Linked DNA regions of Arabidopsis thaliana. Each later gene encodes a partner of the first gene's protein in a complex. Each region holds a gene or a part of one and is shown on either strand. Other genes may lie near its edges. The genes, in order: EIF3A, TRIP-1, EIF3C and EIF3K.

Region 1 (7,406 bases):
ACCAACAACAACTTGAGTTCAAGGGCAGGATCAAAACCAAGAAATTAAACTATAGACTGAACATAGATCATAAAAAAGTTGAAAACATCTGCACGAAGAAGAAGAAGAAGAAGAAGAAGAAGAAGAAGAAGAGGACCTGTGACGATAGCAGTGAGACCAGTACCATCGATTCCATGAGTGACTTCTTCAGCTGTGGAACGAGCAGAGAACCCAGATGCTCCTTTCCACCAAAAAGGCCACATGTTTGTTTTGTTTCTATCTTCTGTACCACAAAATTAAAGTCTAATCTCAACCAAACCAACGCTAGCTGATGATCAAACACACACCCTAGTAAAGTTGACCAATTATAAAATTTCTTTTTCCGAGAGCTTTTGCAATGTGCCCATGCTCTGTTCTCAAAACAAGGCACTGAAGAATCTCGTATAAAAGTATTAATTACAGTTTCATTTGTTTTCTTCCTTAATCCAGAGATAAGAATAAAGATGTTTGTATACACTATTTACATTTTTGATACAAATGTTGTTAAATGTGAAATTTGGTATTCGTTTATTGTTCTTCATAAACTAATAATAAGCAATTAACAAAAAGTTTGCTTGAAAGAGAAGCTGATCAATGTCAAAGGTTTTTACAGCAGAAAGTTGGAAATAAATTGGACAAACAAAGAAAGATCCAACCGAAGAAGGAAATAACAACTCTCTCTGGGTGTGTAGAGCAAAAAACGAGTCTAACATGTTTTAAAATCTTTCATAAAAACTTATAAAAGATGAGCAATCTTCAAAAGAAGAAGAGACAGGTTTGGGCTAAAGAAGAGTGCTGTGATGTTGAAAATCCAGAGATAACCTTTTTCATTCATTCCCATGGAGATTGAGACCAAAAAAATTATTATTACTCAACGCTGTGTTGGCCTGGGCCTGGAGCTTCCAAATGTGGATCGGCGATCATCACTGCCTCTAGGACCAGAACCCCAACGGTCTCCTCCTTCAGCTGGAGGTCCAGATCTTTCCCTATTACTAGTCCACCGGTCAGTATTCTGAGCGGCTCCTCTGTTGCTTCCCCAGTGGTCATCTCCGGGAGGCGGCCCACGGTTGGACCGTCGGTCAGTTTCTGATGATGTTGGTGCTGATGGGCCTGAGACCTCAGTAGTCTGGCGCTTCCACTTCGGAACATAAGGTGCTGCTGGTGCTCCTGCTGCTGCTGCTGCTGCTGCTGGTGCGGTAGTTCCAACAGGAGTAACAGTAGGCTCTGCAAGGCGAGCAGGTGGTGCATTAGTTCCTCTCAACAGCTCTTCTCGTTCCCGCCTACTTTTCTCTTCCAGCTCTATCTCTCTCTGCCTTTGCTTCTCAAAAGCTTTATCCAAGTTTGCTTTGCGTTCAGCTTCTACCTTCTTGAGCCTCTCAGCTTCTACATTAGAGGAAAACCCAAAAAATAAACAGAAACAAGGGGTTATTAAGAAAAACTTCAATATCAAAGTCAAAATGATGTGGATTTATGGAAGCAAGTCCACACCTTCCTGCTTGCGAGCTTCCTCTTCTTCCTGCAGCTTCCTAATCCTTTCTTCTTCAATTTTCAAATAATATATCTGCTTCCTCTTGATATCCCTTTCTTGCTTCTTCTCTCGGATTATTTTACTGATACGCTCCTCTCTCTCCGTCCTGATTCTGTCAAACTCTGCTTGTCGACGACTAATCACTTGTGCTTGGAATATTTCCTGGGCACAGAAAGATTCGATTATAAGTACATTGGAAGGAAAAGTTACAGGAAAAATGTAAGAAACTAGAGAGCTTTAAAATTAATTCAATAACGAAAAGAGATTCAGATCAAAGATGAACATTAAGAGAAACAACATGACATGTCAAAGACTGACCTTATTACCCAACATTCTGGACAACCTGTTCTTCTCCTTCAAGTCACTCTCATGACGCTCTTTACTGAGTTCAACTTCACGCTGCATAGGAGAAGAGCTTTTAAGACCTCATATACTTCCAACACAGAACCAAGTTGTAAGAAAAGAAAAACTACTGAAACAGTAAGTACCTGTTGTTCACGCTCATAAAACTCTCTTTCCTCTACCAGTCTTCGCTGATATGCAGCTTCAATCAATGGAGCAGCCTCTTCTCTCTTTGCTCTTTCCAAATAATCCATCGTTTTGGCAAGCTTTTGAAGCTTCTTCTCCATTTCTTGCCTTTCCTTGAGCTGCTCAGTTAAGGCCCTTTCCTTCACAGATTGCTTTGTCACCTTCTCCTATATTTAGTTTAACCCAACCGACATTAGTAATAAGTTAATCAGTGAACTATATAATAGCTAACATATTGGTAAACTTACTCCGTCTAAAAGTGGCTTCTTCTTTCCCTTTTTCATGCGCTTCTCTGTCTCTTCCAGTAAAGCTTGGGCTTCTTCAAGCTCCTTCTCCTCTATCTCTCTAAGGATTCTTTGTTTTCTTCTCTCTGCAAGCTCTGCTGCAAGTCTCTTTTGTTCTGCCTCTTCAGTTAGCTTCTGAAGCTTAAGCCGTTTCTGCTCCTCTTCACGTTCCTTCAAAAGTAAACATCAAATAAAGGAATTTTCATAAACAGGTACAGCGTAAAAGGAGAGCTGTGCAAATAACCATGGAAAAGTAACTACCATTTCTAGTTGCTGACGCTCTTGATCCTCCTTCCTCTTTTCAATGATTGATTTACGAGCAAGCAGTCTTTTGTGCTCTTTCTCAACAGTATCTGCTAAATTTGGTATAACGCCAGCTAGTTTTGATGCTTTACTTGGGACAGGATACAGCATAGCTCTTACTTTGCTCAAAGACTCGGCAAAAACAGCCAGATGATCCCTCAGTCCATCAGACTCAATACCCTAATATACAAACAGTTGATCAAATAGATTAGTATTTAGTCAATAAGTTAAAAATTATATTACTCAACTACATATGATATAATCAGTGTTGAGCTGAAGCTTTAACAGAGGCTTACCAAATTTCCAAAAATTACAACACCCTTCATGTGATCAACTTTCATGGCAACAAAATTGTTCTTCACAGCATCAACAGAAATCTTCTCTACCTCTGAGAATTGAAAGAAGGGTACCAACTGAGATAAACTCTCAATTCTTATTGTCTGATAAATCTTAGACACCTGAAAATAAAATCGGAACATAGAACATTTAGTATGCAGAAAAAGGGATAAACCACCAGAAAAATCCAAAATGGTTGAATGGGTATTGACCTACAACATAGAGAACAAGGCTTACCTGTTGAAGTAGCCTCAGAGTAGCAAGCTTCTCCAGAGAAGGAACATATTGGGAAAGTTGCACTTCTGGTAAAGAAGGAGCTGAGGACAGTTTCCCACCAGATTTGGAAATCTTTTCCAGCAAAGGCTGAATCTTGGAGCCAAGATCAAGTGGGTGAAATTCATGCTCCAAAACATGGAAAAGATCTTTGACCTCCTGAGATGCACAGCTCAAAACACCTTTTGAAACCTAATTGCATAAAAATCAGCCTCCAAATCAGATATTTGTAAGTCGACAAATATTCTAAACCACAGACAGGGTAACAGCTAGAGACTCACCAGCTCTGACAGAAGAGCTGACCGGGAAAGCTGAAACAGGAAGGAAATGGAATTAGAATACTAAACCAGAAAGAAAGGGCGCAAAATAAAAATGAAGCAACATAAGAACCTATGTTACCATATCTTTGCCCTCAAATTTAGGTTCAAGATTGAATCCAATGAGGTTAGCCATCCTCAAATTGCGTTCTTTCTCATTTTCAAGTTCCATATGGGATGCGCTCTGAGCCCGATCAAATGGTGGAATGGACAATGCCGCCAAGACAACAGATGACGCTATTAGCTGCAAATCCTTTTGGCTTAAATTCTTGTTGAAATTTTTCTGCAGACTAAACAGCTTAAACCATGCATAAGCATGATAAAGATGGCTAGAAGAAATCCAGAAGATCTCAGTCAATTTGGAATAATAAACCATCAATAAAGATGACTTGGGCGTTTTTTTGACCATGCACATTAATCCATAGATATCTTCAACAGAGCGAAAAGCTTCCTGCAAAGATACATCACGAACCATACTAACTTATTTCCAGTAATTATACAGAGGATAAGCTATATACAGCCAAACTAAATATGGAATAGAGAAGGTAGCATCAGAAAAATACACATAGAAAACAAAAACGCACCTGCCAAAGTCCAAGCTCAGTAGCAACTTTCAACTGATCAAACCTTGTGTCCAGATACAGCTGCAAGCTCTCAGGGGCTGATAAGTCAGGTCGGTCCCTTTGGTCTCTGTACTTGTTCAGGTTTGCCAAATGATTTCTTATAATTTCACAAAGCCTACGGAACTCTGTTGTTCGCTTGTACTGCTTACAGAACTGGAAGGCTTTATGTGCTGTCATCTACAAGATTATAAAGTACAAGTCTTCAATCTCAATCAACTTAAAATCAGAGGTATCACCAATAAGCTTAACCTAGAAGAAAACAAACCGCATAAAGTGCTTCCAACTTTGAGTTGTTTCGCAATATCTCAAGGACTGTCCTGTATGTCTCCCACAGAAACTTAAACCATGGGGTGACCAACTCACGGTCAGACCTATCTTTTCCCTTCTCCCCACTGACAATACTTAGCTGTAAATCCTCAGGCTTCCTATCAGCTTCAAGGTCATCAACATCAAGAGCCTCCTCAAGGGCATCCGCCTGAGACCGAGCTTGCTCAGCTTTGTCAGTAGCAAGATGTAGGAAGTGCTTGATAACTTCCTCCAAGGAACTGACATTCACTTGCTGGCAAACAATACGATACTGAATCAATCCATCCTTAGCGAATCGACCCCTCTTCAAGTCAACACAAAGATCAAGATACTTAAACATGATCTTCTCAAGCGGTTTCTGCCAAGCTCTGTATCTCTTGGAAGTAATGAGATCATGAAGCGCCTGAAGAGCATCTTGTTTCTGTCCAACATTGATCAATTCTACACACACAAAAAAAAAGTGTTTAACACAATCTCAATTCATACACACCCTAACCACATCCATTTGACCAAATGGATGTTAAAACGAAAACATTTCGTAACTTACCATCAGCACGCTTCAACGCGTTCTCTGGTTTGGCAAAATTCGCCATGTTTCAGACGAAAAAAGCTAGTAACAAACTCTAACGCAAGGGACACTCTCAATTAGCCTGAAAAACACAGAGAAGCGATTTTGTTACAGAGATCACCAGAATCCGAAAAACCCAATCAGATATCTCAGAAAAGGATGGAAGCTACATAGACCAGAAAAAACTTGCCCAAACCCTAAATTCATTTCATAGAATCAAAATAACACAGAAAGATTCGATAACCTGACCCAAACCCTAACCCAGATCAATTCAATGAGATTTGATTAAAAGGCAGTAGAGATCCAATCACTGATGCAAGAACAGAGCCGAAACTTAGGACTAACCTTGTAGCCGTGAAAAGAGAAGACTGATAAGAGAGACGAGAAGCGAAGCGGAAGCAACTCTAGGGTTTCTGGTATTAATATTATCGTTCTACATATATATTACCCATATTTGCAGAAATCATCCTATTTTCTTACGGTTTCGAAATGACCCCGTTTTATCTTCTTAGTGTTTATAAAACCCAATTTGTCTAATACTGGGATGTGATTCAATTGAGATCAACAAAATTTATGGATTTCATTTTCGAATTATCATTTACAATATACTCTCTATATTTTGTTTAATAATATTTTTAGCAATTAACTTTGATATTTCTATATTATTAACTAAACATACATTTAAGTAAATAGCCAACAACATATTAAATATTACATAAAATGCCACTACAAAAATTCATTTCAAAAAAACAATTGATTTACATAAAATCATGAAAGGTAAAAAATTCAACTGTAAAAGGGTGTTATTGGTTTATGATTTCAAAAGAGTTTTAATGACTTAAAGTGTAATATAGAATCTGATGTTATTCAATTAAATTTTTTTTAAAGTATAATTGTGTTAACCCGCTTTAATATTTATAATTGGGCAATTATAAATTCATATAAAAAAAATTAATTATGATTATTGCATTTATATAAAAAAATTGAAAATTTGAATATGATTTTTTCTATTACAAATAGGGATTGTTAGCTTACTTTTAACTGTTTTTTTCTTAATTATACTAGGTAAGTAACAAGAGTATAAGAACATTATACAGTTCAAAATATATATTTAAGCAAGGCATTGGAAATATGTGATGGAAAATTAATATAACAGATTATTTTTGAATTATTTTACTATCGACGTATTTTTTTTGTCGGAACTGTCGCTCACGATTTGCAATAGAACATAGCCATATGTAATCATTTTGATCTATATTTTTGAGTTACTCCAAGATTCAAACAATTTAAATTCCGTTATAATCTACAATTAACCTTCCATCCAATTCCAAAATCAACAATATTTTAGCCAATTTGTGCGATGATCATGAATTTGTTTTGTTAAATTCATTGATTTTCTAGAATCCAACATGTACATAAAAAAAATTAGTGGAAATTGATATATTTTTTTGGGAAATTTGCAGAAATAACTAACAAAAAAACTATAATTCACTAACTAACCATCCTAACTATGTAATTATAATATTCTCTGTATTATATGTAATATTACTCAATTTGCCCTTGTTGCCTCAATACCTTCAGTAGCAACCACCACCGCTGGCCACCACCGCCGGCCACCACCGCCGGTCACCACCGCCGGCCACCACCGGTCACCACCACCGGTCACCACCGCCGGCCATCACTGCCTGCCACCACCGCCGGCCACCACTGCCTGCCACCACCGCCGGCCATCACCGCCAACTTCGGCCACCATCTATTCCGGTCACCACCAACACCGGTCACCGTCACTGTCGGCCACCATCAAATCCGGCCACCACCAACTCCGGCCACCACCAACTTCGGCCACCACCACCACCGCCACCACCACTGTCGGCCATCACCACCACCGGCCACCACCACCACCGCCGGTCACCACCACCACCACCACCACCACCACCACCACCGCCGACCATCACCCCGCCGGTCACCACCACCACCGCCGGCCACCACCACCACCGCCGGTCACCACCACCACCACCACCACCACCACCACCACCGCCGACCATCACCCCGCCGGTCACCACCACCACCACCGGCCACCACCACCACCGGCCACCACCACCACCGCCGGCAACCACCACACCGATCACCAACACTTCCGACCACCATCAACTCCATCCACCACCGCCGGCCACAACCATCACCACCACTACCATCTCCAATCAAAAAGACTAATTTAGTAAGTTTACTACCCTCTAGTGTTAGTTTCTACATTTTGTATATTATAGTGTTAGTTTCTTAAATAAATTATCAAAAACAGTTAGTTTTGCAATTCACCCATAT
Region 2 (5,000 bases), on another chromosome or scaffold:
TTGTTGGTAAGTAAGCTATCATTAACCAACAAATTATCTTTATGAAGGCGTGTCATTTTCTTGAACATGGCCGGTTCTTTTTGGGTTGCAGGACAAACTGAAATGCTCGGAACCCGAAAAGAGAGTCCCCGCAAATATGTTGTCTAGAGTTAAGAACTCAGGAGCTGGAGATAAGAACAAGAACCAAGGAGACAATGATTCTAACTCTACAAGCAAATTGCATCAACTGCTCGATACGAAGCCTCGAGCTAAAGCAGTAGCTGCAGGCTGATCGATGGTAATTCATGTCGATTTCTACTTAATTTGTCGACATAAACAAAGAAAATAAGTGCTACTAATTTCAGAAAAACTTGATAGATAGTATAGTAGAGAGAGAGAGAGAGAGAGAGGTGTGATGATTATTGATCTATAAATTTTCGGAGAGAGAGAGGGAGAAAGAGAAACTTTTCCTCCAGATGAAAATTTGGTGTTATGGTTTGTTACTGTTAATATAGAGAGGCTTTTCTTTTTTTATAAAATGGCTTCCTTTGTTGCATTTCCTTGTTTTAGACCTGATGTAATTTTATGAAATCGGTGTTATTGCTTTGCGTAAGCTTTTGTTTCTTTTGTCAAGGTTTCATGCATAAAGGATCTTTCTTTTCAGGTTTCATACATCTCTCTCCGAAAATTTATAGATCCAATAATCATCACGAATATCACAAACATTATGAGTCTGTCTTTGGGTGATTTTCTTCGCTACTCTTGAGGACTGTCAATCACACAAGGCATTCTTTTCTACAACCGAGTTTATTTTATAAAAGCTGAATATTAATGCTCGCTCACACATAGAGCAGGTTAATTAACTTGTACTGAGAACTCTGGAAATGAAAACTAAAGATTCTGTCAAAATTCAAAAGCTTTATCATCAAGGTATTTGTATTGGTAGTAAATAAAAACATGAAAATGTTAAAAGAGAGAGAAAACAAAATCCGGAATGGGAGACTTTTTCAAAGATTCTAAAAGGTTGACGTTCAAGTAGTCGGAATCTAAATCTTGATGTTGAAGTAGTCGGAGTCAAAATGATGCAGCCTCACGTAACCGTCTTCACCTCCACTAGAGAAACTGAAATATACATTCCACAAACTCAGTGAGAGAGCCAAAACACACACTCAAAACCTCATCATGTGAGGATTGTGTCAATCAATCAAAATCCAAATGTTGTTAATTTACCTCTTCCCATCAGGATTGAATGCCAAAGCATTTATAGGTCCAAAATGACCTTTCACACCACCAATTTCCTCTTGCAGAATCTATATATTATACCAAACACAATGATACACGGTTATTTAAATATGTGTATTTTCCAGGTTACATGTTTCCAAGTAAAACACTCTTATTATAAACACTAACCTTGTCGTAAAACTTAGCTTCAAACTTTCCAGCACGATGATCAGTGGTAGTCACAGCTGATGCATCTTGACCACCTCCAAGTACAACCTAAAAGAGAGAGCAGAAACATTCACAAAGATAACATCATGCCTTGCTGATTCTGGGATTCGAAATTGAATTTCATGAAGCATTAGTGCATACATGGTTGAGAAGTGGAGACAGGGAGACAGCATTTACGGGCACCACAGTGGTGTAAGTCTTAAGAAGAGTCAGCGTTCTCATGTCCCAAAGCTGAAACAATCAACAAAAGAGAACACTCTATTAGATGATTTATATCTATATGTATAGTGCAAAAATTTGAAACAAGATATACTGTACAAGTAAAAGAAAGAAGCACATGCCTTTGCAGTTTTGTCAAGTGAACCTGTAAGGAAGTGAGAGTCATCAGCTGCTTTGCAGAGCGATGTAATGTCCTTCTTGTGACCCACTTCCTCATCTGATTGCTTGAGCAATTTTCCCGTCTAGTAACAATGGCAGTAGCACCACATAAGGTTTAGTTCATAACCTTAAAAGAGAGAAATTAATACACAAGTAAGGCCTTAAGAAAAATTGAAATACCTCGGCATCCCAGATTCTGATAACTTTATCTTCACCACCACTAACAATAGTTTGGTTCAGGGGACCCCAAACAGCTCTATTGATCCTCTTCTTTCCATCAGGACAATGAAGGACAAGCACAGACTCAGCATCCTCTACACAATTGCATCAAACAAACAATTTCCTTTTAACACATACAAGAAGTTGGCTAAAACGTAAGTAGTAATTCAGCTAGGAATGTACAACTTACGTTCCTCAGGATCTTCCGCAATACGCTTCACATGAATAGCAGCGGTACGGTCCACGAAGTGATCAGTGGTAATCACTGCAAGACGATCTCCAACAGCGAAATCCACAGACCTCGTAGGGGCATTAAACTTGAAAGTGAACAATTCTTTTCCAGATTTTACATCCCACAGCTTTGCAGTCTGATCAGCACTACCAGTGATCAATCTTGACGAGTCTCCTAAGAAATCACTAAACATTCAGCTTTGAAAGACTAAGACGACAGAATTCACTCGATACTATAAACCCTAAACAAGCTTGTAGCTAAGGGGAAACAATGAATCTAATCATCGACTCGATACTATTTGAAGAGAAATTGAGAAACTTACGGGAGACATCACAGCACCAAACAGCACCGTTGTGACCACGGTAAGTTCCAAGGCGCTCGCCGTTATCGGCAAACCAGAGGGTGGGTGTGTGGTCCTTGGCGCAGGAGAAAAGCAGATCTCCTTCTCTGTTGTACCTCAGAAACGTCAATGGACGTTCATGTCCCTTCATCAGGATCGGCCTCATCTTCAGTTTCTTAGGGTTTGATGCGAATCTTTGAAACAGATACGAAATCGAATCAATCAAAAGACAAGAAAAATAATTGAAGAAACGATTACGGAAAACGGCTTTCTTCTTCACCTGTTCACTTGAAGACGAGAGAGACGACGAGGAAGAAGTGCAAAAACCCTAGGAAATCAACTTTGTCCTCTCTTTTGACACTTTTACCCTTTTGTAATTTTTTAAATTACTCGAGATGCCACAGTTTAGCAAAGCTCAGTGGCTTCAGCGTTTTTAGCTTCTTCCCTATTTGATGAGTTCGAACCTCGCCCGTTGCGCCTATTTTGTTTTTTTCCTTTCTCAAAAGCAGTTTCATACGTTTTTTTTTTGTGGGTGCATATGTCTATTTGAAAAGACAAACAACAAGCTTTATCATCAAAGTAGTATATTGGTAATTTGGTAGTACATCAATTCTGAAAATGTTAAAAAGAGAGAAAATATTATGTGGAATGATGAAAAAATGGAAAGACATGTTCAAAGAATCTAAATCTTGATGTTGAAGTAATTGGAGTCAAAATGATGCAGTCTCACGTAGCCGTCTTCACCTCCACTAGAGAAACTGAAAATACATTCCAAAAAACACTCAGCAACAAAGCCTAAAAAACACTCTCATCAACTGAGGATTGTATCAATCAATCAAAATCAAATTTTGTTAGTTTACCTCTTCCCATCAGGACTGAATGCCAAAGCATTAATAGGTCCAAAATGACCTTTCACGCCACCAATTTCCTCTTGCAGAATCTATATATTATAAGACCAAATACACAGTTACATATCTCTTTCCAGGTTACAAGTTTTTAAATAAAACTGTTTTACTGCAACACTAACCGTGTCGTAAAACTTAGCTTCAAACTTCCCAGCACGATGATCAGTGGTAGTCACAGCTGATGCATCTTGACCACCTCCAAGCACAACCTAAAAGAGCGAGAGCAGAAACATTCACAAAGATAACATCAAGACTTGTTGCTTTTGGGAACCGAATTTGAATTTCAAGAAGCATTAGTGCATACATGGTTGAGAAGTGGAGACATGGCGACAGCATTTACAGGCACCACAGTGGTGTAAGTCTTAATAAGAGTCAGCGTTCTCATGTCCCAAAGCTGAAAGAATCAACAAAAAGAACACTCTATTAGATGATTTATCTCTATATGTAATATGTATAGAGCATATTTTTGAAACAAGTAAAAGAAAGAAGCACATGCCTTTGCAGTTTTGTCATGTGAACCTGTAAGGAAGTGAGAGTCATCAGCTGCTTTGCAGAGGGATGTAATGGCCTCCTTGTGACCCACTTCCTCATCTGATTGCTTAAGCAATTTTCCAGTCTAGTAACAATGGCAGTAGCACCACATAAGGTTTAAGCTAATAAAAAAAAAAAGAGAGATATTGATAGACAAAAGAAAGGCCTTAAGAAAGTTGAAATACCTCTGCATCCCAGATTCTGATAGCAGCATCTTCACCACCACTAACAATGGTTTGGTTCAGGGGACCCCAAACAGCTCTATTGATCTTCTTCTTTCCATCAGGACTTTGAAGGACAAGCACAGAATCACCAACCTCTACATCAATTACATTAAATCAATTCCTTTTACCCATACAAAAAAGACATAGGCTAAAAAACATAAGTAGATTTTAACTTAGAATTGACAACTTACGGTCTTCGGGATCTTCTGCAATGCGTTTGACATGAATAGCAGAGGAAGTTCCCACGAAGTGATCAGTGGTAATCACTGCAAGATGATCACCAACAGAGAAATCCACAGACCTTGCAGGGGCACCAAACTTGAAAGTGAACAATTCTTTGCCAGATTTCACATCCCACAGCTTTGCAGTCTGATCAGCACTACCAGTGATCAATCTAGACGAGTCTCCTAAGAAATCACAAACAAAACACTAATCGTTAAGCTATGAAAGACTAAAACAACAAAGACAACGACTTAAATCCTAAACTGAATCCATTCCATCCACTATATACTATTTGAATTTGAGAGGCTGAGACCACTTACTGGAGATATCACAGCACCAAACAGCACCACTGTGGCCACGGTAAGTGCCAAGACGCTCGCCGTTATCGGCAAACCAGACTGTGGGAGTGTGGTCTTTGGCGCAGGAGAAAAGCAGATCACCATTTCTGTTGTACCTCAGGAACGTCAATGGACGTTCATGTCCCTTCATCAAAATCGGCCTCATCCTCGTTTCTAGGGTTT
Region 3 (6,257 bases), on another chromosome or scaffold:
CAGCATGAAGTTCTATCACTTGCCATTTTGCACACGTTTTTAAAATCGAGCTTTGACATACTTGGTTTCTTCTGTTATAGGTTATTCGAGAATCATTCAAAGGTGAGCGCCATTTGTTATATTTTACTTCTCTGGTGAAAGTAATTGAATACATACCATTTTAAATAGTTAGCAGTCACTTTATCGTGACAATGGATCAAAATGGTTCTGTTTATAATAAATATATATGCTTATCGCTGCCTACTTTCTGACCTTGTTGAAACTCTTGTTGAAATGTGTGATACAGGTTTCGCAAACTTTGTTGACAATAACCGTAAACTCTTTTCGAAAATCAACGCAATCTGCCTCAGTTTGGTAAGATATGAAATGTTAGTCTCCCGTAATTTCTACACCCCTTGAATAACTTTCTGAAGTCATATCCTTGGAGTTTTGCTTTGTTGCAGGAATCTTAAACTTGGCATTTTAGATGCCTGTACTTAAAACTTTCTCTTTTCTTGTATGATAGCTTGGGATTTCAACATTCCGTGGCATTGATGTGCCAATCCAAAGCTTTTACTAAATTGCAAAAACCATATTTGCAGTCACGGTTATGACTTTGGAGATAGAAGGACTTAATACTTTTTTCCTTTTTATAGTTTAACCTCTGCTTCCCTGGCTACTTCAACTGGTCTGACTTTGTTATTGCATTTACCTGGTTATTTTGGGAACTTAATAGTGTTTATTCCATGATTAATATTCTAGGTGCCATGGATCCAAGTGAGCAGGTCAAGATCACTGCTACTATCCGTTCAACCTAAGGTTTTCCTTGCAGCAGTTGGCATTGGAATGTACGCATTCTTCTTTTAACATATAGAAAAGATACCAAGTGAAGAAGCTCATGGAAATATTTGGCTTGTGTGTTAGAAATGCGGATTACGTTTGACAGAAGATTCTTACGTCTTCTTACAGATTGCTGCATCTTTCTCTACTAGCATTCAATGCTGTTTCAATCCGCATCCTCTCCGGTCTTACAGGTGGTAGCAAGAGCTCCAAGGAAAACAGCACTGCAGTTTTGCTCGTTTCAAGCCAGGTAATAATAGAGTTTGCCTTTTAGAACCGATTTTGATCTCTTAAATTTGGGAGTTCTTTTCTTGTGGTGGCATAGAAAACATTACCGGTAATGGTGGCGGTAGTAGAGCAATTAGGAGGTGCATTTGGTGAGACAGGGCTATTGGTTCTTCCTTGTGTAGCTGCACACCTGAACCAGGTTACAAATTGTATTATAATCATCATGTACTTGTGTGCATAATTTTATAAATTATTGACGTAAATCTGGAATGTTACAGATCATGATTGATTCAGTTCTTGTCAACTTATGGCTCCGGAGAGGAAAAGATACTTCGACTAAAGTAAAGACAGCTTGAGAGAGAGAGAGAGAGATAGAAAGCAATGAAACCAATGCTGTGGAGAAGGTTACATCCTAAACACACTGAATGTCAGTTATATACATAGCAGCAAGACTGGGGATTTTGATATCTTTCCAATCACCAAAGCTTAGTTGATCATTGACCATCTCTCTCTCTCTCTCTCTTTCTGTATGTATATGCTCTAGAGATTCCGGTCGGTGTTTGCTGATCCAATTTGTATGATTTATGAAACTATGTAAAAAAAAAACTTGTATCTATATTTGAAAACATTTAGTCATTTGACGTTACCAGCGTACAAAGCAATTCATATGTAATCTGTCTGATAAGCAGCTAGGAAAGAGGACTAAGAACCGGTTCTTTTCTCAATTTAATTGAACTAACCATCACTACAATTTCATTTAGTCCTGGTTCGACCAATTCGGTTTGTAAATAAAATAAAAACCGATCGAGAGCGTTTTAATTGTCCTCGGTTTTCAGTTTCGGTATGGAAATAGAATCAAATCGAATCCGGTTTAGTGAGTAAATCACGAAACCCTAATTCTATATATTTTTTCATCTCGACCAAAATGCTTGGACGGCTACACACCATTTTTGTTTAGATTCGTAATCCTCCTCAAGCATCTCCTTCGCAAATCTCCATCTCCATCTCCATCTTCTGAATTCAGGTAATTTTGTTCCTCATCATCTAGCGTAACAAATTTTCGATTCTAGTTTGGTGTAGATTGATTCGAATCGATTCTAATTCTTTGTTGATACGAGTCTGTATCTGTGACACGATTGTTTCGTTCAGATTATGTTCTTCGAATGGATTGGTTTGTTTTACTTATAATTTCGTTCCTCTGATTCACTATTCAGATTTGTTACTTTTGGTGTATCAGGTTCTTGTTGCTTACGCTTCCAGCTAAAAAGATGACGTCTCGTTTTTTCACTCAGGTTTCCTTCAACAGACCTCTTGTTTATAAACTCTCTTTACCTTTACTTGCTTCAGTTTCTGAATGATTTTTACTTGTTATGTTGATAGGTTGGAAGTGAAAGTGAAGATGAAAGTGATTATGAGGTAGAGGTTAATGAGGTTCAGAATGATGACGTCAATAACCGTTACCTTCAAAGTGGTAGTGAGGATGATGATGATACTGATACGAAACGTGTGGTTAAGCCTGCTAAGGATAAACGTTTTGAGGAGATGACCTACACTGTTGATCAGATGAAGAATGCTATGAAGATCAATGATTGGGTCAGCCTTCAAGAAAACTTTGATAAGGTTAACAAACAGCTTGAGAAGGTTATGAGGATTACTGAGGCTGTGAAGCCTCCTACCTTGTATATCAAGACGCTTGTTATGTTGGAGGATTTCTTGAATGAAGCTCTTGCCAATAAGGAAGCCAAGAAGAAGATGAGTACTAGTAACTCCAAGGCTTTGAACTCAATGAAACAGAAATTGAAGAAGAACAATAAGTTGTACGAAGACGATATCAACAAGTATCGTGAGGCTCCAGAAGTTGAGGAAGAGAAACAACCTGAAGATGATGATGATGATGACGATGATGATGATGAGGTTGAAGATGATGATGATTCTTCCATCGACGGACCTACCGTAGATCCTGGGTCCGATGTGGATGAACCTACTGATAATCTCACTTGGGAGAAGATGCTGAGCAAAAAAGATAAGCTTTTGGAGAAGCTAATGAATAAAGATCCTAAAGAGATCACTTGGGACTGGGTCAACAAGAAGTTCAAGGAAATTGTGGCTGCTCGTGGAAAAAAGGGCACTGCTCGATTTGAGCTAGTTGATCAGCTTACGCACTTGACAAAGATTGCCAAGACTCCTGCACAGAAGCTTGAAATCTTGTTTAGCGTTATTTCGGCTCAGTTTGATGTGAATCCAGGTCTCAGCGGGCACATGCCTATCAATGTCTGGAAGAAATGCGTGCTTAACATGCTCACCATACTGGACATTCTCGTCAAGTACAGTAACATTGTTGTGGATGACACAGTTGAGCCTGATGAGAACGAAACTTCAAAGCCAACAGATTATGATGGAAAAATTCGGGTCTGGGGAAATTTGGTTGCATTCTTGGAGAGGGTTGACACTGAGTTTTTCAAGAGTTTGCAATGCATTGATCCTCACACCCGTGAGTATGTTGAGAGGCTAAGGGATGAGCCCATGTTCTTGGCCCTTGCTCAGAACATCCAGGACTACTTTGAGCGGATGGGTGATTTTAAAGCTGCTGCAAAGGTAGCCTTAAGACGTGTTGAGGCAATATACTACAAGCCCCAGGAAGTTTATGATGCAATGAGGAAATTGGCTGAGTTGGTGGAAGAAGAAGAAGAAACTGAGGAGGCCAAAGAGGAAAGTGGACCTCCTACTTCATTTATTGTTGTTCCGGAGGTTGTTCCCCGTAAGCCTACCTTCCCAGAGAGCAGCCGAGCTATGATGGATATTCTTGTGTCCCTTATCTACAGAAATGGAGATGAGCGGACCAAAGCGCGTGCGATGCTATGTGATATCAATCACCATGCTTTAATGGACAACTTTGTGACTGCTAGAGACCTGTTGCTGATGAGTCATCTGCAAGACAACATCCAGCACATGGACATCTCAACACAGATTCTCTTTAACAGGACCATGGCGCAGCTTGGTCTTTGCGCCTTCCGGGCTGGAATGATCACTGAGTCCCATAGCTGCCTTTCCGAGCTGTACTCTGGTCAAAGAGTGAGAGAGTTGCTTGCCCAAGGTGTCTCGCAAAGCCGATACCATGAGAAAACCCCGGAGCAGGTAACTAGTTATCTTCTGTTTTTAGATTTAATACAGATAGGATTGAAAAAAAATTGTTTGACCAGATAGTTCTGATTGAGACATGATTACAAACACTGTTGCATTTTTGGGTTCTTCATTTTGTTTCATTTCACACAATCCATTTTCTCTATTTCAACATGGATGCTTATGGTTATGTTTTTCGTTCAGTTTATTTATATGTGATATAAAACTTTCTTGGTTTATTTCTTGATTTACCAGGAAAGGATGGAAAGGAGAAGACAAATGCCGTACCACATGCACTTAAACCTTGAGCTTCTGGAGGCAGTTCATCTCATCTGTGCCATGCTTCTTGAAGTCCCAAACATGGCTGCAAACTCGCACGATGCCAAACGCAGAGTGATTAGCAAGAATTTCCGCCGCCTGCTCGAGATCAGTGAAAGGCAAGCATTCACTGCACCGCCTGAGAATGTACGTGACCATGTCATGGCAGCCACCAGAGCCCTGACCAAAGGAGATTTCCAGAAGGCGTTTGAAGTTTTGAACTCTCTTGAGGTCTGGAGGCTGCTCAAGAACCGTGACAGCATCCTTGACATGGTGAAGGATAGGATCAAAGAAGAGGCTCTAAGGACTTACCTATTCACATACTCAAGCTCTTATGAGTCCTTGAGTCTTGATCAGCTGGCCAAAATGTTTGACGTCTCTGAGCCGCAGGTCCACAGCATTGTGAGTAAGATGATGATTAATGAGGAACTGCATGCAAGCTGGGATCAGCCAACACGATGCATCGTCTTCCATGAAGTGCAACACAGCAGATTACAATCATTGGCTTTCCAGTTAACGGAGAAACTCTCGATTTTGGCAGAAAGCAATGAGAGGGCAATGGAATCTAGAACCGGTGGAGGTGGTCTGGATCTGAGTTCAAGGAGAAGGGACAACAATCAGGACTATGCAGGAGCAGCATCAGGTGGTGGTGGATATTGGCAAGACAAGGCGAATTACGGACAAGGAAGACAAGGCAACAGATCAGGTTATGGTGGAGGAAGATCATCTGGACAAAATGGTCAGTGGTCAGGGCAGAACCGAGGAGGAGGGTATGCAGGAAGAGTTGGTTCAGGAAACAGAGGTATGCAGATGGATGGCTCAAGCCGTATGGTGAGTCTTAACCGAGGTGTTCGTACTTAAAGAGGATGAGGAGAAATCTGCAGTGTTGACCTTAGTCTCAACCTTTTGTTATGTTTTGGATTCCTTTTGGTTATCAAATGGTTCTTTCTAAGAGATGTTCATCACATTTTCTCGCATTGTGATTGTTTATTTTCTTTGTGATATTGGCAGTTGTTGGAAAAGACTTTTAAGAATGCTTTACTGGAAAGTTTAATAAGTTTTTTTTTATGCGTCATTCTTGTTGAAAAGAAGAAGGCTTAGGTTTTTTCTCGTATGCTTGCAGGTCTGTTTTTGTTGATGTCTTTTACTCTTTCATCTTTGTTTGCTTAGTAACTTCCTCTCGATGAAGTGTTTGATTAATTTCTTATCAAGAACATCTGTGATTTAATCGGCTACTTTCGTGGAGCTAGCGACAATGAATATTGTTGAGAAAATTCTTTTTTTTTTTTGGAACTCTTATCTTATTATAACTCATGTTGTATGGCAAACACAGATACAAAAAAGAAACACAAGCTTGTCGTAGTAAGTACTAAGTAGTAACTAGTACAAGTGACATGGTTGCATTTGCCAAAGCCGGATAAAGATGCTGAAGAAGTATCCGGTGGAGTGAAAGGCTCTTCTGCTGCACTTAAAAGGATAATAATGCTGTGGACTTGCGGCTCAGAGACGTCAAACATTTTGGCCAGCTGATCAAGACTGGAGGACTCATAAGAGCCGGATAAAGATTCTCTCAGCAATCTTCACATCACTCATATTGTTAGTTATTGTCACTCTCTCTCTACTCTATGTTGAATCTGCACAATTAATGTTGATGATTTAAATGTCCTTTTTCTTTGCTTACATACCAAATAGAATTTCTGAACCACAACTTATTGCCAGCTGAGATACCATCTCCTTCTCCCGTGCAAAAGTATTTGTCAACTAGAAAAATG
Region 4 (4,542 bases), 9.1 Mb from region 1:
AATTAAATCTAACTTGTTCACTTCAATCACATATTGTATCTTCATTAGTCTTCATTATGTCGACTAAATAAAATAGAAAAAACAAATCATTAGGTTCATGATTGTCAAAAAAACAATTATAAATAAAACACCGTTCATTGTTGTCGATCAAATTGAAAATTTATATATTATATTCATAAAATTCAATTATTTATTCTGTTAAGCAATTCAAAAAAGTCTCATATATGTACAAAATTACAAAACTAGTTACATCAAAATCAAAAGTTATGATCTTGGGAATAACCTAGTTGTTAGTAGAATAATAGTATTGTTTTAAGCAATCATCTTAGATACGAGATGATCTAACTAATTATAGTTTAATCAGTCAAATTTATCACATAGGGAGCAGTCAAAATATGCATGGGAAAAGAGAAAATTGTGCACGTGACATGATTTGGTGTCAACATGTGAGCTTCCAAATGGATGGCTGTCAATCTTCGTATGTGATCTGTGTAGAGAGGACGACAAGACATAGACAGTCTCTTTGTATTTCAAACTTTCTCAATACAAATTTGCCGTGTCAGTTTCTATATTCCAAGAAACCTAAACAAAAGTTTTTTTTTTCCTTTGCTTTTTAAAGAAGACAATTGTTTGGGTTGTCTGAAGATTCGTTTAGTTTATTTAGATGTAATGAAGTAAACAGAAGATAATCAATCAGAAACGAGCCAATTCCAACACTTGTTGAGAAACCAGTATTGGAATCCATGGAAGGTAAAAAAAAAGGTAAGAAGCAGAGCTCAGACTATGAAGATCTACTAATTATGGCAAAGTCTCGGTCTACTAGATTTTTAAGAAAATCTGTCAAATTGCAAAGAGGAAGGCCATTGCCAAAATTCACATTACGGTGTCTTAAAAGTGTACATCACAAGATAACAAGAGACAAAAGGAAAATTTGCAGTGTTCTCATGAATTGGTTCAACCAAGGATGGGGAAGATGCGGGCAATGTGTTCCAAGGGAACATTCTCACCTGTATTTTTCTTGAGCTCCGGATGGTTAAATTCATTTTGTGGTAAGACAATACTTCCACCCTCTTTCTCAACAATCCATCCACTGTTAGTCACTTGCTGCTCGATGAATTTGTCTAGAGATGCACCATCCATGTTAACAGCCTGTGAAAATTGTCATTTATTGACAAATAAAAGGTCAACAAATTAGATTTCCAGAACTATGATGTGGAATATTCGTAACAGAAAATTATATGAGAAAGTAAAAGATTTCACATCCGAAGTTCTACTATTTTGATGACTTAAGCTATCCGTGGTGAAAACGAGATCATAAACCAAACATCATACCTCAGCCAGCACTGATCTTGGAACCTTTTGGTAGCTTAAGCTAAGAAGGTGACTTGCATATGCTTGAATAGCTTGCTCAAAACCTGCATTTAATCTCTCGCATATAAGACATCTACACTAGACACAATCATAAAATGAATAGACAGTACCATAAACCACTACTGAGGACTTTGTTCGTACCATAAGACATCTACACACAAATATCCTTAAGTAACAAATCTACATCTAGAAATTTGTTATTAGTAGACGATTTATTTATGATTCAGAAGTTAGTTACCTGGAACAGCCTCGAGAATGTGACGGTTCTTGGCAGCTTCATCCCAGAACTGTTGGAACCTCCCAGTCTGCAAAAGAAAAACAAGTGCTTTAAATACTCAATGCACACCTTTTCAACTCTCAACTAACTAATACTGATGTTTGCGTACCTCAAGGTAGTGTGATAGAACAATTAGTGACTTGAACTGCTCCTCCATTTGCTGAAACACACAATCCAAACAAGTACATTTATTAGTCCTCAAGAATCCAACACATTGAAACTCACACTTTATCATGAATGCTCAGTACACAGACTGAACTGACAGAAATAACTTGGAATGGCATAATAACTTGAGTCAGAAACATTTGAACAATCGTTTCTTCTGTATCTACGATAAGCTATATATGTAAGAAAGCAAAACATTGTGAAGTTAAGAGGAAAGAAGAATACCACTCTTTCGGGAATCAAGAAGAGGCAAAGGCTGAAGTCTGGAGTTGGCATAGCCATAAGAGCCTTGACCAAGATTCGAGCCACGATATGAGTGTTCATGCGCTCAGGCTCAAACTGCATAAAAGCAACAATACCAATTAACGAAAAGAGACACTAAAACTCTTGAATTTGGTATCAAAAGGTCCAGCTTAAGAACAACTAGAGCACCTGATAGAGCCGAAGCAAGCATAGGTTTACTTCCAGACTATACGTTTGCGATGTAACCTGAAAATCATAACGAAACCAACAACAATCAATGGAACACGATTTCTACAACAGAATCCGGCTTGAGAGAAAAGGGAAAGGAAACTGCACGTTAACGTAGTTTTCGAGATCAGGCAGGATTTCAGGGTTGAAAGGATTAAGGGCGACGAGCTGCTCAACGGTGTAAGAGCTCTGTTCCTGCGGCGATTGGATCTCTACTCCCATCTCTGCCTCTTTCTCCTTCTCCGTTTCTGTCCCTTTTGCGTCGGTCTCTTCGAACTTTGATAGATCACTGAGGAATGTGCAGAGGAGATTCGCTGATAAGACGAATCTAGGGTTTAAAAGCCAAAACGACAAAGCTTTGTCGTTTGGGCTAATGGTGCAATTGACAAAACGTTTGGGTTAAATTAGGATGACAGAGAAACTACAAAGGGTTGTTTAGTAAATAACTATTTTTAAGCCATTTTGATGCCACAGACTCGGTAAATAAATATTTTCTCAGTTTGCTTTTAAAGATTGATACTACACTAGAGTTTGCATTCGATTAACCATGGTCCAAAAGTTCACCAGTGAACATCTTTTCAAACAAAACTGTCAGCATCTACGAGTTCTCTGATCACAACTTCATGAAGTCTCACTTTGTTTCCAGTAGAATAATAAATGTGGATATCCTTCAAGAGTATAAAATCATAATCTTTCTTTTTTCAAATTTCAATATATACAAGTAATCTTTATATTCACGAAGAATGAATCCTTTGGTAATAAAATAAAAATAAAAATATATAGTTTCTTTTTGTAACAATCAATGGGTTTTCCTTGTTGTTTTAGTCTTCAACAGCTTCATCGAATACGATTCACATGAGAAAATGGCTCGGCAACTGCTTTTGGTGCAGCTTTTTTTGCAGTCTCTGGTACTCCAAAAACGTTCCAAAACCTCAGGGTCTCGTCTCCTGCTGCTGAAGCTACAGTACAACCATCTGGACTCTGTAGAAAACACAACAAACAACACAAGTTTAAGGACTGAATGACCTCAAAGACTCAAACTACTTCACCACTTAAAGAAATTGATGACGTTACCTGGGCCATATATAGAACTCTTGATGTATGACCAGTGAGCTCAGCCATTTTCACCATGGATGGGTACTTCCAAAGTGTAAGCTGATTCTGTGTAAACCCATGTGAGCTAAGCAACTCTCTTTCATTCTTGCTCCATAACAACGAACAAACTTGGGAACCAGTGTCTACTGAATTCAAGCAAGCCCCAGTGTGAGTATTCCAGAACTTTATCGTCCTGTCTCCTCCACCACCACCAGTTGCAAGCAAATTCGCTTGGAAAGGGCACCACGCAAGAGCCTTCACAGCAGATGTATGTTCCTCAAGCCTGTGCAGCCATTGTGTGGTTGAGTTTGAGGAAGCGACAGAACGATCCCAGATGTGTACCACATTGTCGTTGCCACCACTTGCTAGTTGTTGTCCAGATCCTGACCACTTGAGCCCACAAACTTCTTGAGTGTGACCTCTGTAAGTTTCCACAATGGGTGATCTGATCCTCACATCATTGTTGATGATCAGTCCATCCATTCCTCCAGTAGTAAGGATATGATTGTTCCATGCCAGTGATCCTACTCTTGACTGGTGACCACCCTTTAATGTTCTCAGCTGCAGAAATATGAGAAACACATCAGACTAAGAACACCGGATATTATATCTCAACATAAAAGAGAGAGAGTAGTAATTACTTGACGGTTGGATGCAGAATCCCACAGCTGGACTTCAGAGTTGTTGAGTCCAACTGCAACATGACGACCATCAGGAGCCCAGTTGATACTTGTGACAGGTCCCTTCTCCTCATCAATGGTCACAAGCTCAGATGTAGAACCAGTGGAAGCATCCCACAAGTAGACAGTGTGGTCCAACGCTATGGCTAAGACATTTGCACTTCCCCAGTCCAGCAAGTTGAGGTAGAAATCGTCAACAATGTCAGGTGCATCCAAGGTTCTCTCAGAAGTCTGTTAATCACAACAGAAAGTTTAGCAACAGATCAATACAACTCTAATGCAGCAACCAGTAAGTGAGCTTTAAGGATCAAACGCAATAAATACAGTACATACCTGAGGAATGTATCGACGAGGCTTTACAGATTTGGGTTGTTGGTGAAGAGAAGCAGAGTGATTGCTCGGAAGCAGTTCGACAGGAGCCTGAGGTTTGTTTCTGAAGGCGAGAATCCTTGTGTGGTTCAAGTTCATGGTCTCAGCCAATTG

What was found.
Region 2: EIF3A (region 1) and TRIP-1 share a complex: the UniProt entries of both Arabidopsis thaliana proteins name them as parts of the eukaryotic translation initiation factor 3 (eIF-3) complex.
Region 3: EIF3A (region 1) and EIF3C share a complex: the UniProt entries of both Arabidopsis thaliana proteins name them as parts of the eukaryotic translation initiation factor 3 (eIF-3) complex.
Region 4: EIF3A (region 1) and EIF3K share a complex: the UniProt entries of both Arabidopsis thaliana proteins name them as parts of the eukaryotic translation initiation factor 3 (eIF-3) complex.

The regions. Positions count from the first base shown.
Region 1 is NC_003075.7:6,946,945-6,954,350, forward strand, and holds EIF3A (eukaryotic translation initiation factor 3A), read right to left. Parts: upstream 5,536-7,406; 5' UTR 5,430-5,535; intron 5,167-5,429; 5' UTR 5,110-5,166; coding exon 5,064-5,109; intron 4,958-5,063; coding exon 4,476-4,957; intron 4,388-4,475; coding exon 4,172-4,387; intron 4,039-4,171; coding exon 3,670-4,038; intron 3,582-3,669; coding exon 3,552-3,581; intron 3,463-3,551; coding exon 3,235-3,462; intron 3,120-3,234; coding exon 2,958-3,119; intron 2,842-2,957; coding exon 2,620-2,841; intron 2,530-2,619; coding exon 2,323-2,529; intron 2,242-2,322; coding exon 2,035-2,241; intron 1,946-2,034; coding exon 1,865-1,945; intron 1,709-1,864; coding exon 1,507-1,708; intron 1,402-1,506; coding exon 890-1,401; 3' UTR 532-889; downstream 1-531. Other genes in the region: AT4G11410 (NAD(P)-binding Rossmann-fold superfamily protein), read right to left, coding at 137-242; AT4G11430 (hydroxyproline-rich glycoprotein family protein), read left to right, coding at 5,855-5,884, 6,669-7,298. UniProt on the Arabidopsis thaliana protein: RNA-binding component of the eukaryotic translation initiation factor 3 (eIF-3) complex, which is involved in protein synthesis of a specialized repertoire of mRNAs and, together with other initiation factors, stimulates binding of mRNA and methionyl-tRNAi to the 40S ribosome.
Region 2 is NC_003071.7:19,002,631-19,007,630, forward strand, and holds TRIP-1 (TGF-beta receptor interacting protein 1), read right to left. Parts: upstream 3,103-5,000; 5' UTR 2,878-3,102; exon of another isoform or gene 2,792-2,877; 5' UTR 2,764-2,791; coding exon 2,580-2,763; intron 2,432-2,579; coding exon 2,216-2,431; intron 2,121-2,215; coding exon 1,987-2,120; intron 1,890-1,986; coding exon 1,770-1,889; intron 1,660-1,769; coding exon 1,570-1,659; coding exon of another isoform or gene 1,549-1,569; exon of another isoform or gene 1,477-1,548; coding exon 1,390-1,476; intron 1,290-1,389; coding exon 1,210-1,289; intron 1,102-1,209; coding exon 1,026-1,101; 3' UTR 528-1,025; downstream 1-527. Other genes in the region: GBF3 (G-box binding factor 3), read left to right, coding at 1-6, 92-271; AT2G46290 (Transducin/WD40 repeat-like superfamily protein), read right to left, coding at 3,280-3,355, 3,458-3,537, 3,625-3,711, 3,807-3,896, 3,999-4,118, 4,219-4,352, 4,449-4,664, 4,800-5,000. UniProt on the Arabidopsis thaliana protein: Component of the eukaryotic translation initiation factor 3 (eIF-3) complex, which is involved in protein synthesis of a specialized repertoire of mRNAs and, together with other initiation factors, stimulates binding of mRNA and methionyl-tRNAi to the 40S ribosome.
Region 3 is NC_003074.8:20,832,879-20,839,135, reverse strand, and holds EIF3C (eukaryotic translation initiation factor 3C), read left to right. Parts: upstream 1-1,860; 5' UTR 1,861-2,071; intron 2,072-2,261; exon of another isoform or gene 2,262-2,284; 5' UTR 2,285-2,315; coding exon 2,316-2,339; intron 2,340-2,427; coding exon 2,428-4,182; intron 4,183-4,422; coding exon 4,423-5,346; 3' UTR 5,347-5,726; downstream 5,727-6,257. Other genes in the region: AT3G56160 (Sodium Bile acid symporter family), read left to right, coding at 81-102, 287-354, 742-827, 949-1,069, 1,145-1,246, 1,326-1,403. UniProt on the Arabidopsis thaliana protein: Component of the eukaryotic translation initiation factor 3 (eIF-3) complex, which is involved in protein synthesis of a specialized repertoire of mRNAs and, together with other initiation factors, stimulates binding of mRNA and methionyl-tRNAi to the 40S ribosome.
Region 4 is NC_003075.7:16,038,112-16,042,653, forward strand, and holds EIF3K (eukaryotic translation initiation factor 3K), read right to left. Parts: upstream 2,698-4,542; 5' UTR 2,507-2,697; coding exon 2,393-2,506; intron 2,303-2,392; coding exon 2,246-2,302; intron 2,153-2,245; coding exon 2,039-2,152; intron 1,809-2,038; coding exon 1,758-1,808; intron 1,677-1,757; coding exon 1,610-1,676; intron 1,416-1,609; coding exon 1,333-1,415; intron 1,150-1,332; coding exon 955-1,149; 3' UTR 540-954; downstream 1-539. Other genes in the region: CDC20.2 (Transducin family protein / WD-40 repeat family protein), read right to left, coding at 3,122-3,265, 3,359-3,940, 4,021-4,290, 4,393-4,542. UniProt on the Arabidopsis thaliana protein: Component of the eukaryotic translation initiation factor 3 (eIF-3) complex, which is involved in protein synthesis of a specialized repertoire of mRNAs and, together with other initiation factors, stimulates binding of mRNA and methionyl-tRNAi to the 40S ribosome.